Linked DNA regions of Xenopus tropicalis. The protein of the gene in region 1 interacts with the protein of each later gene in a pairwise test. Links are inferred from orthologs where the notes say so. Each region holds a gene or a part of one and is shown in the gene's direction. Other genes may lie near its edges.

The links.
Region 2: the proteins of fhl1 (region 1) and mybpc1 interact in a two-hybrid assay, tested with the Homo sapiens proteins (2 studies listed by BioGRID and IntAct). The link is inferred for Xenopus tropicalis from reciprocal best matches to the Homo sapiens genes FHL1 and MYBPC1.
Region 3: the proteins of fhl1 (region 1) and akap12 interact in binary tests that used the Homo sapiens proteins (3 or more experiments, as listed by UniProt). The link is inferred for Xenopus tropicalis from reciprocal best matches to the Homo sapiens genes FHL1 and AKAP12.

What each region holds. Positions count from the first base shown.
Region 1 is NC_030684.2:68,791,266-68,795,525, forward strand, and holds the start of fhl1 (four and a half LIM domains protein 1), read left to right. Parts: upstream 1-1,401; 5' UTR 1,402-1,466; coding exon 1,467-1,488; intron 1,489-4,260.
Region 2 is NC_030679.2:48,935,825-48,939,480, forward strand, and holds part of mybpc1 (myosin-binding protein C, slow-type), read left to right. Parts: intron 1-337; coding exon 338-497; intron 498-794; coding exon 795-899; intron 900-1,716; coding exon 1,717-1,905; intron 1,906-3,010; coding exon 3,011-3,145; intron 3,146-3,656. UniProt on the Homo sapiens protein: Thick filament-associated protein located in the crossbridge region of vertebrate striated muscle a bands. Slow skeletal protein that binds to both myosin and actin.
Region 3 is NC_030681.2:44,978,465-44,982,120, forward strand, and holds part of akap12 (A-kinase anchor protein 12), read left to right. Parts: coding exon 1-3,656. UniProt on the Homo sapiens protein: Anchoring protein that mediates the subcellular compartmentation of protein kinase A (PKA) and protein kinase C (PKC).

The sequences.
Region 1 (4,260 bases):
GAACATGAAGGAGATCAGAGTAGTATTCAGAACTGAGTAGAGGCTTGTCAGAAATAGGGTGGATTCTAGGTGCACGTGCCCCACACCTTTAGTACAGGGGTGATAAATATTTATCCAAATACCGTAAATAGTAATAACAACGGGATACACCAAAACTGGAGTTCATGCTAAGAAAATTGAATAATTCATCCCCTGTGCACCATGCACATGCAGAAATGTCTTTGCATTAATGTTCTTTCACTGGCTGTGAGTTTAACCCACGTGCTTGTCCCACTAAGCTCAATATGCTCTATGAAGTAGAAGTGTGACATTTATAACATGTTGTTTTATACATATATATATATATATATACTGCAGTTATCGGCATTCATAACTTAAAAAAAATATATAATTGTTGCATAATGTTAAAATTTCCAGATGGAAATAGGAAAATTAGGTTTTTATTTGTCATGTATCTTTAATCTTTGATTTTACTTTGTACTATATTGTGTATCTACTATGCCTTAAGTGCTCTTATAGTGAGGAGTGATAGATTCATAATTATGTACAGCTGGATGAGTACAATTCCCATTTCTGTTATTATTATTTGAACATCACTCTACTTAACTAAAATATCTTAGCCTTTTTGAGGGGCCCCATCTACAATCTTTTTGTGGGATAAGAGAGGGTGCTGTTTCGTCCATCTAATGTATTTTATTTTTTATTACTATTGTATATTGTTTAGGGATTGATTTGAGATCTCTTTCAATAAAGGTATTCATATTGCACTTCATATCCATCCAGTGTTTGTTGTTGGCGATGCAGAGCACAGCATTTTACATTTGTTTGGCCTTTGGCCATTGTTTAGATGATCATAAAGCAGTTGCTACTACTTGTCCTCTTATAAAGACAGGTCTGTTAAAAGGTTAAATCAGTTGACTCAGCTTCATATTGTATAGTTTATCACTCAGTTTCACTATGGTAAATGTATTAAGAACAGTGAGGGTCTCAACCCAATTTAAGAAAAGCACTTCATATCTTATACTCCAAACAAAATAAGGATGTATATACCTGGCAGAAATCTACAAACACTGGAATATTATTTTACAGTGGACTTGTGTCCTGAACTTTCATCTGAGGCAGGGAAAATGTTCTGTGATATTTAAGTGGGGTGTTAGGTTTCCTTAGGGCTTGAACTCCTGTGTTTTCATGGGGTGGCTAATTTAGAAATCTGAGTAGTTGCATGGGCATTTTATGTGTACACGATTTTTTCTGGACTCTATTCTTCTCTCAAAAGATAACCAAAAATGGTCTTGCTTTTCAAGTAGGATTAAACAAGAAATCCCTGGAGGGGGGTGTGAACATTTTGCATCTGACTCCTTATTAATAGCTCCCTGTATACATACATTATCAAACAGTACATTTGGTATCAACCAAAGAACAGACCACTTGGCTAAGGAGGCTGCTTGTGAATTTCTCGTTCCCAAATGGCATTTGAAAGGCATTCAGGTAAATAAATGTAGAACTTCCTCTGTTATTTTATTAACTCATAAATAATTTGTGCAGTGTATTATACATGAGATTTAAATATGTGACCAAATGACAGTGTTTACATACTGCAGCAAATATTTATGAACAGAATATTGTTTTAAAGTGTATCCTATTATATTCTACACAATTTTTATGTATTCAGACAGGATGCAAGTGGGGGTTTGAGGTATCTGTTGCAGATTAAATTTTGAAGCATGGAGACTAATTTTCATTTTGTGTATTTAAAAGGGATATTAGGCACAGCTAGAAGTAGTGATGGTATAGCTGAGTAAGTTAGTGTATTTTAGAGTTTGATTTTTGCATCAACGTGTCAATGTGTTACACAGCTGAGACACTAGAACAGCAGATAAACATGATCAGATTACAATAACCTGTGTGTGTTCAGACCACAAAGTGCTAAATTGCTTCCAATGGGTTTCTGTAGCATAGCTATAAATATATGTGTATATGAGTATATATATATGTATATAAATCAAAGGTTTCACACTCAACAGGAATTTTACAAAAAATCAAAAAGGCTTTATTTAAATTCCCAACGTTTTGGTCACACCTAGTGACCTATATCAAGGGAAAACAAAGAATAAATATAAATATACTGTATGCCATTACAGATCAGACACATTTGATGTTTGTATCTATTGATCATTCATTTAACATTTTCTTACACTCCACCTAACCCCTTAATGACTGAGTAAATGGTGTGGTAAAGACATTTCTGGTGATTGCCTTTTCCTCTGTTCTTACTGATACTGCAATGAGCCTGTTTAGCCTTTCTATTGTATCTGTAGTGTCTCAGGCCATTTTCCCTGTATATCAGACCCCTATATAAGCCAGTGAGCTCTTTGAGCTATTCCAGTGATCCCCGAACAGTGGCTCGTATGCAACATGTTGCTCACCAACCCCTTGGATGTTTCTCCCAGTGGCCTCAAAGCAGGTGCTTATTTTTTAATTAAGCTTTTTTAATTTTTTTAATTAAGTTTTTGTTGCATAAAAACCCCAGTGTAAAGCCAAACAGAACCTTCTGTAGGCTGCCAGATTGTATAGGGGCTACCAAATAGACAAACAAACCTCCAGCACCCCTGGAACTTTTTTCATACCTGTTTTGCTGAGTTTGTAATGCACATGCTGATTAATAAGTCAAAATTTCTACTAAAGTATAGTTACACTAATCCTTCCTTGCAGTAAGGCTTATTTATCTGTAGATTAGTGTTTATTCATATGACTTACGCTCTGAAGAGAATAAACATAAGGTCTTTAGGAGAATGTGGGTCTCATCTATTAATGGGACACAGTGTGGAATTCCAGTGGAAACCAAGTCTGCTGTGCCCTCACCTGCACTACAGCATATCACTCTTGGAGCTTAGCGTGCTCTCAGTACTTATCCTTTATATTGTGTGATTGATTCTTTTATAGATTCAGTTAAAACCTAGCATGTAACCTGTTAGGGAATATATGAATAATAGGGCAGTAATTGGCAATAAAGATGACTTCATTGTTCATAAATGGCAACTGAAGCTCCACAGTGCAAGGTTTAGCTGTTGTCTGGGCAACAGGCTGAAGAGCAAACATATCCTAAATAAATGACTCTGATATGGAGCGGACAAATGCTGTGTGGGGTTTATCATGCAGCCTGTGACAGCTCCGTCAGAACTCAGGCACGCCATTGTTTGTACTGCATCTGTCACTTTTCTCTAGATATCCTCTGACATAAGGCAAGCCTTCCAAGCAACTGGCCAGGTTTTTATTTGGAGCAGTTTGTTGTTAGGATACAAAGAGATGTCAGGGGATAAATTGTTTGCGATCTGCAAGTCCAGGCCAAATTTACATAAAGGGTTAGTTCATACTTTTATTCTGTTATCGAAGCCCTTTTTGTACTCTAAAAGGCAACCTCCTTTAGTCAAACCTCATGGGATGCCCTTGTATCCTCTGTATTGTCCTTCCATATAGTCATAAATAGTGATCCTAACTCTAAAAGCACTGGTTCTCCTTTGGAACAAACCCAACTTGGCCAGTATTTTTTTAATGTCTTAGACTTTCCATATCCTTTGAGTTTTGTTACTGTTTTCTGAACCTTCCTTTATCAATGACATCCCTTTAAAAAAACTGGAGACCAAAACCACACAGTTTCTTATAGATGGGCCCTTTTCAGTGCTTCTTAAAATCACTAGTTACCCTTGCAGGACTGAGGATGTTTAGCAATGTTGGACTGAGATGCCAGGGGCCTACCAGAAAGGCTTGGATCACAGCCCTACTGTCTATACTTTTGATTTACTATTTACTCACCTTATTTATGTTACATACACTCATCTATCCTGCTCTCCATAGTTTCTATATCCCCTTTTCTCATACAGGAATGAGGAATGGCAGTGATATAGGCATACAAAACCACCAATCACCTGGGTCCACCAAGGGGTTTTCTTGGCACCCTGATAGGCCAGGCATAATCAGAAGGAACAGATCAAGATAAATAATAAGAAGTTACAGGAAGAACTTTGGAGACGTAGAATTTATTTTTAAAGGAGAAGGAAAGGCTAAGTCACTTGGGGTGCCAAAATGTTAGGCACCCCCAAGTGAATTAAATCGCTTACCTTGTACCCCGGGCTGGTGCCCCTGTTAGGAGAAAACAGCACCAGCCCGGGGTACCTGCAGCAAGCGATTCCTTCTTCCGCGTTTCTTATGCCGGCAAAATTCATGGGCCGGCGCGCAAAACTGGAAGAAGAAAGCGCTCGC
Region 2 (3,656 bases), on another chromosome or scaffold:
GATGTATCTGAATATACAAAGAGCACTATATAGAATATACTGTAGATACATCCATGCGTAATATGTTGCTAGAATAGCTGCATGTATAAATAGCACTTGGTTTCTCATGCATTTCTTCATTCAAAAAACATGTCTATCCTTCAGAGAAAAAAGGTACTTATGTCAAGATAAAAAATAAAATAGATAACGTGTGTTTTTAAAGGTTTATTTTTACTAAATTGGACAATAAATTCCTAAAAAATAGAAAAAAAATTAGCATGCATGATTGATTATGATCTGAATGTTTATACTATGGTCACAGTATATTCCTGATTCTTTGAGTAACTTTTTATCCTAGTGGATCACAGAACTGAGTGGTCGTATCCGTGCAGAATCATATCCTGATCATGGACTTCTGGTCATTGACTCAGCTGAGAGGGAAGACTCTGGTACTTACAGGATCATGGTTAAGAATGAGGCAGGAGAAGCAGTAGCTCATATCAAAATAAAGGTTGTAGGTAAGTATTAATAAAAAAAGGATTGTTCCTCAAAAGTGTTTTCTCTGTGTATAATCTGAGTTACCGTCACCTTCGAGATGGTGGTATCTCCAGGCTTCCACTCTATCAACCTACTAGCAGCAGCATTGATATTGGGTCCACACTCAATCTTTGTAAACAACATTATTTAACAAATATATTTCAAATTTAGTATTAGGGCTGATGTTGCATAGTCATATATCAGATTTTAATAACTGAATGCAATATGTATTAGGTGTATATTTATATTTAAAACAAATAAAATATATTTATATTCAGATATTCCAGATCCCCCACCAGCTCCTGATGTAACAGAAGTTGGGGAAGACTGGTGTACTATGAAATGGGATCCCCCAATATATGATGGTGGCTGTCCTATTTTGGGTAAGTAAACATATAGGTTAATTGTGGGTGGATTATATATTTAAGTACACCATCTTTTAGAAATGTAAATACAGCAAGAACAGACTAATAGTGGTAGCACAGTGAACTCTGATGGTACATTTTGATGGATTCTAAGATACATAGAACAGTAAAGTGGCAAATTATGTTTTCTAACAAGGAAGAGAGTGGCAAACAAGAGAACAAGTTACTTGAAAATGTGTGTATAACTACTGTATTTATAAACTAAAAGTGAAAAGTTATGTGTTTTCTCCATAAAGATCATATAAGCGGTCATTTACCTATCCCCCAGACAGAAGTACATTAGAGCACTAAGGGGTGCAAGAGGCCTACATGCCTACATGAATATAGCACTGCTGAACAAAAAGGTGCACCCCAGGTCTCTGTGTTCCTAAATGGACCTATAGTGTGATGTACACAAAAACATAAACATAGTTCCTCAATCCTCTTTTGCTGCATTAAACGTAATAGCAAATAGGACATTTTTGACTACCCAGAATTACAATGTCCCCAGTAGTACTGTTGTATTGAATAGAATTATCAGGAGAGGGTATGGCAGTTGCCTAATAGCTTGCTAAATAGTGTGAAATTACTATAGTGTGTTATTTTCATATGATTATGTGATTCAGCTGGCTAAAGAAAGGTGTTTTTAATTCTATTTGTGGGTATTGTGTCACCCACCCATGGGGTTATTTTGAGTGAGCAACAAAAGCCCCAATGTACCATTACCCTTAGGCATTCGAATCACCCTGTAATTCGGTTGAGTATGTGACTTTTTTGTTCTTTAATGTTTTATAAGGCTACTTTATTGAAAGAAAGAAGAAACAAAGTTCTAGGTGGATGCGGTTAAACTTTGACCTCTGCAAGGAAACCACATTTGAGCCTAAAAAAATGATTGAAGGTGTGGCATATGAAGTCCGGGTATTTGCAGTTAACTCAATTGGCACATCTAAACCCAGTCCTCCTTCTAAAGCATTTGTACCACTGGGTAAGTAAACTTGCAATGTCCTTTCATACTGCATACTGCATACTTTCATACAGCAAACTGGGCTCATTACTCAGTTTTATAAATCAGGAAAATGCAACAGTAGCTTTAATCTGAGTGGATCAACTTCTGTTTCTAAAGACACTGGCAGGATTATATCCTGAAAACACACACACTCTGATTTACTAACCCACGAATCCAAATCTGAATGGGAAAAATTCAGATTGGAAAACGAACATTTTGCGACTTTTTCGTATTTTTTGCGATTTTTTCGTCGCCGTTACGACTTTTCGTAAATTGTCGCGACTTTTTTGTAACCATTACAACTTGTGCGAATTGTCACGACTTTTTCGTAGCTGTTAAGATTTGCTCGTATCTTGTCACGACTTTTTCGTATTGAGCGCTCATAAACTGCGGGCAAAACTTTCAGACTTAGCATGATTTTGGAAGCCTCCCATAGGACTCAATGGCACTCTGTCGTAACGCTATGAAAAAGTCGCGACATTTTGCGAAACATTCATAACGGCTACGAAAAAGTTGCGACAATTTACGAAAAAATCGCAAAATACCGATCATTACGCATTCGGACGCCTTCGGACCATTCGTGGATTAGTAAATCAGCCCCTCAGTCAATTGTAGGCTATATTAGTCCAGAATGAGCTAATGGTTCAGCTCATAAAAACTCAATATAAGTCTATAAGAAAATTTAGAACTGCATTTCAGATTCAATCTGGCCCAATAACGTGTATGTATTATACTGACAGTGTTTATAACAGTTAATCAATCCAAATGATTCTTTGCAGCTGAGAAAATGTAGGGACAAAACATAGATAAATAGCCAAATTTAGAATAACCCTTATACTGTATACATTATTTATCTATGAAGCTGCTAGTAATAAAACTTACAGTGCTCTCTGACAATTCCAGGAGGCTATGTAGATAGATTTGACACTGTATGGTGTATACTAAGCCCACTAATCACTCTACTGCCCAACTGGACACAAGTGTAGGGGATAAATGTATCACTCCCTAATGATTATAAAGTTGGACAGCATTGTAGCGCTAATACTTAAAACAGAACATAAACATATCCCCTTTCTTCCTTTAGCTGTAACAAGTGCACCCACTATGTTAACAGTAGATGGAGTGACTGACAACTCTGTCACAATGAAATGGAGGCCACCAGATCACATCGGAGCTGCAGGTTTAGATGGTTATGTCATTGAATATTGCTTTGAAGGAGGTAAGCAAAGCATCTGGATGCACCTTCAGTTTAATAACCAACCATAATGCACTCCAGACTCATATGTTAACAAAAACAACAGCAGGTTTTCATTTGGGCACTATATATTATAGCAACCAATTGTCATTAGTCAGAATTGTAATTCTAAAACTTTCTGTATGATTTCTGGAAAACATAGCATTACTGGTAAACATATAAAAGAATGATATTTCTGCATCCTTTCAGTTTCCCTTGTGTCTTTTATATGTCTTCCAGACAAGCACAAAGAAATATAACCATCAACCAAAGAGTTCTGCATGCCTGCCCCCAATAGGCCACTGATGGTTATATTTGTGAGTCAGATGTGCATTCAACATCATTGAATAATCCATAATAAACCATCTTGCCATAGTCTTAATGGATTGATAACATATTTGGTAATACTATAAAAAGCTAAGCTACTGAGATAAAGAAAATAAATGATGAGTATTGTATGGATATGTAAAGAATTTGAGAACTATATTATACTTAA
Region 3 (3,656 bases), on another chromosome or scaffold:
CAGTAGTTGAACCAGTAGTAGAACCAGCAATTCAAACATCTGAGACTCAAGAAGAGGTTTCTGGGGAAAAGCCAAAAAGTGAAGAAGAAACTAAATTAGAAAAAGAACAGGTCAAAACACCAGAATCTCCAACCAACCCACTTGTTGTTGAAACATCTTCCCCACTAAAGAAATTTTTTGCACAGGGTTGGGCTGGACTAAGAAAAAAGACGAGCTTCAGAAAGTCAAAGGAGGAGGATCATCAGGAAGTAGAAAAGCATATTATAAGTGAAGAACAGGAAAAAGCTGAATCTCAAGCCAAAGAGGAAGCTGGGGAGAACCAAATAATAGTCAATGGTGAAACATTACCAAAGGATGCAAGTGAAACTGAAGAATTAAAGGCATCTGTCGATAAGGAAACTCAGCCCAACACCATTGAATTAGCAAAGCCAGAAGAATGCCCAGCTGATGAACTGTCAGTTCCCAAAGAAGACATTAAACAAGAAAATGTAGAAATATGTGAAGTATCTGCCACACAAAGTATAGAAACTTCTGTTGAAGTAGTCAATGCTGTTCCAGTGCCAACTGAGTTTAGTGAACAAAAGAAAGAAGCTGACACTACAGAAGATAAAGATGTAAGCCAAATTACAGTAGTCAGCACTTCTATTGCTAATACAGAGGAAGTAAAGGAAACACTTTCAGAAATGGCACCTGACACTGAAGTCACCTGTGACAAAGATAACAAAGAAACAAATGCTGAACAGGCCCAGGCAGCTATAAACACAGAGAGGACAGAAGCTGAAATATGTCCAGAACCTATAATGACAGAAACTGAACTGTTGTCATCACAAGAAAAAGCTAAACTACAAGGTAGCCCTTTAAAAAAGCTTTTCAGTGGAACTGGTTTAAGGAAACTCTCTGGAAAGAAGCATAAAGGCAAGAAGGAAGATGACACTAAGACAGAAGTTACCTTAGAGGTACCAATATCATCAGACATGCCTGAAGGAGATGGAGACAATACCTCACCTTCTTCTCCTGAGGAGTCAGCTGAGACCTCACCCACAGAAAAAGTGCCAGAAGATGCTCTACAGGCAGTAGAAACAGAAGGTGATGGGGCCACATCTGATGGGGAGAGAAAAAGAGAGGGTATTACACCATGGGCATCATTTAAAAAACTAGTCACTCCTAAAAAACGACCCAAAAGACCATCAGAAAGTGATAAAGAAGAAGAAGTTGAAAAGATAAAGACTTCTACTATGTCCTCTACTGAGAGTGCTGGTTCAGTTGAGAATCAAGAAGAAGCCAAAGAAAATGGTGAAGAACAAAAACTTGAAAAAAGTACAGAAGAAAATAAGAAAAAAGTTGACAACTCAGTGTCATGGGAAGCATTAATCTGTGTTGGCTCAGCTAAGAAAAGAGCACGAAAGACATCTGATTCAGATGAGGAAGAAACACAAAAAAACATTGAAGAGAATAAAAAAATAGAGGAAGATGTTGATAAAAGTAAAGAATGTGAACCAGAAGGCCCTATTGTTAGCTCACAAGAAAAGGAACAAGTAAATGATAGCCCCTCACCAGACCAAGCAACAAGCCCTGCTGAAGGAGATGCCGGGTCAACTTGGCAGTCCTTTAAAAGACTGGTTATTCCAAGGAGAAAATCGAGAACCAGGGCAGAGGAGAAAACTGAAGAGACTGCTGTAGTGTCTAATACTGAACAGCCAACTTCAGATGGGGAGGCTGGAAAGGAAGAAGGATGGGTATCATTTAAAAAACTAATCCCTGGGCGTAAAAAGAAAAAATCAGAAGGCAAGCAGGAACACGCTGCAATAAGTGATGCTGGAAAATCAGTAGAAGGATGTGAGGCAATGGAGGATGATTCTGATGTGCCGGCAGTAGTTCCATTGTCTGAATTTGATGCAGCTGAGCAGGAAAAGCGTGAAGCCCAGCAAACTGAAGATGCTTTGACTGATGTCTCAAAAGATGAAGCAAAAACACCAGAGAATACCTCTGAAGACCTTATTCATGCAATTACTGTTACTGTTGTTGAGGGAGAGAGAGCTGTTACCAGTCTGGAAGATAGGGCCCCCTCTTGGATAAGTGCAAGTGTCACAGATACTGTTGAGCAAGCAAATGAACTTACAGAGCCCAGTACAAAAGAAAGAATAAAGTCTGAAGTTACAGTAGAAGAAGCTGTTATTTTTGGTGAAGTTTCACAGATGGTAGGATCCGGAAACACTATAATAAATGAGGTGGAATTAACTTCCGAAGCTCTAACTGCTCTTGAAGAAGCAATTGAATATTCATGTGCTGAAGAGACAACAGAAATGATATCTGCTGCTTCACAGTTAGGTGACTCATTTACCCCCACAGAAGAAGTTACACCTGTTCCAGAGGAAGATGAGGGTAGCCAGAGTTTGGATGTGCCAGATCAAGTCCTCAATGAGGCTGCAGAATTGGCAGAGCAGTCTACTCAAGCTTTGGTTGAAAAACAGGTTGAAGAAAGTACCTGCATTTCTGCTGAAGAGCAGGGTATAGAAAGCACCCTTACTTCAGCTGAGCAGATTGAAGAATGCACCACTGTATTAGCAGAAAGTCATGATCAAAAGGACACCTCAATTTCAGCAGCAATTAAATCAGTGATAGAAAAGGATGGGGCTTACTTAATTTCTGTTGTGGAACACATTAATGAAATTCCTGTCATTTCAGTTGAGCCTGCAGATCAGGCTGATACAGATGCCCCAGTAGCCACAAAGGAATATCTTGCAGATTCTGTTTTGCTTGAAGAGGCAAGAGAGGAAACAAGTGTTGGTTCAGCTGAAGTAAAAGTTGGTGAAAGCCATGCTGATAAAATAGCTGATACTGCAGAGGAACAGGATGAAAGTGCTCATATTTTGTCTGAAAATACGGTTGAAGAATGTGCCAATGTTTCCATAACATCACAAGATAATGAGCCTGTTCCTGCAAAATACAATTTTAAGGAAGTCACACCTATTTCAAAAGAAGTTGAGGCTCCTCCTGTAAAAGAGCATGTCTTAAATTACTTAATTTCTGCTGTTGAGCAAGTAGACATTGCACCTGAGAAGACTGTTGAAGGAAATACTCAAATCTTGGAACAGGAGCTACTAAAAGAATTGAGTGAAGAGCAATCTAACATAAGTGCCTCTACTGTTCATGAAGAGCAAGTTAAAGAAGTTGCTTTAATATCAGATGAGCAAGAAACCCTGGAACATCCATACGCTTCAGATGATTTAGAATCTAAAGAAGGAGCTATCTTTTTAGCAGAGGAGCAGGTTGAAGAAAGGTCGGACATTTATGTAAAGGTTACAGAAAGTGCCGTGATTTTTGCTGACAAGAAAGAAAATGAAAGTACTTTTGTTTTGACTGAAACACAGACTGATGAAAGTTCACAAATTTTTGTAGCAACACAGGCAATAGAAAGTGTTTCTGTTTTGAAAGAGGAGTTGGCAACAGAAAGTGACCCTGTGGTGCCAGTGGAGCAGGCTAACAATATTGCCACAGCTGCCAAGGCTGCCATTAATGCTTCAAGTGAAGATGAAAAGCAAATTTCAGAATGTTCAACAGTTATGTTTGATGAACATACAGAGAAAGAACATGTTGCAGAAAGTCCCACACATGTTACTACAACACTTACCGCAGAAATTGCTTCTGTAGCTGAA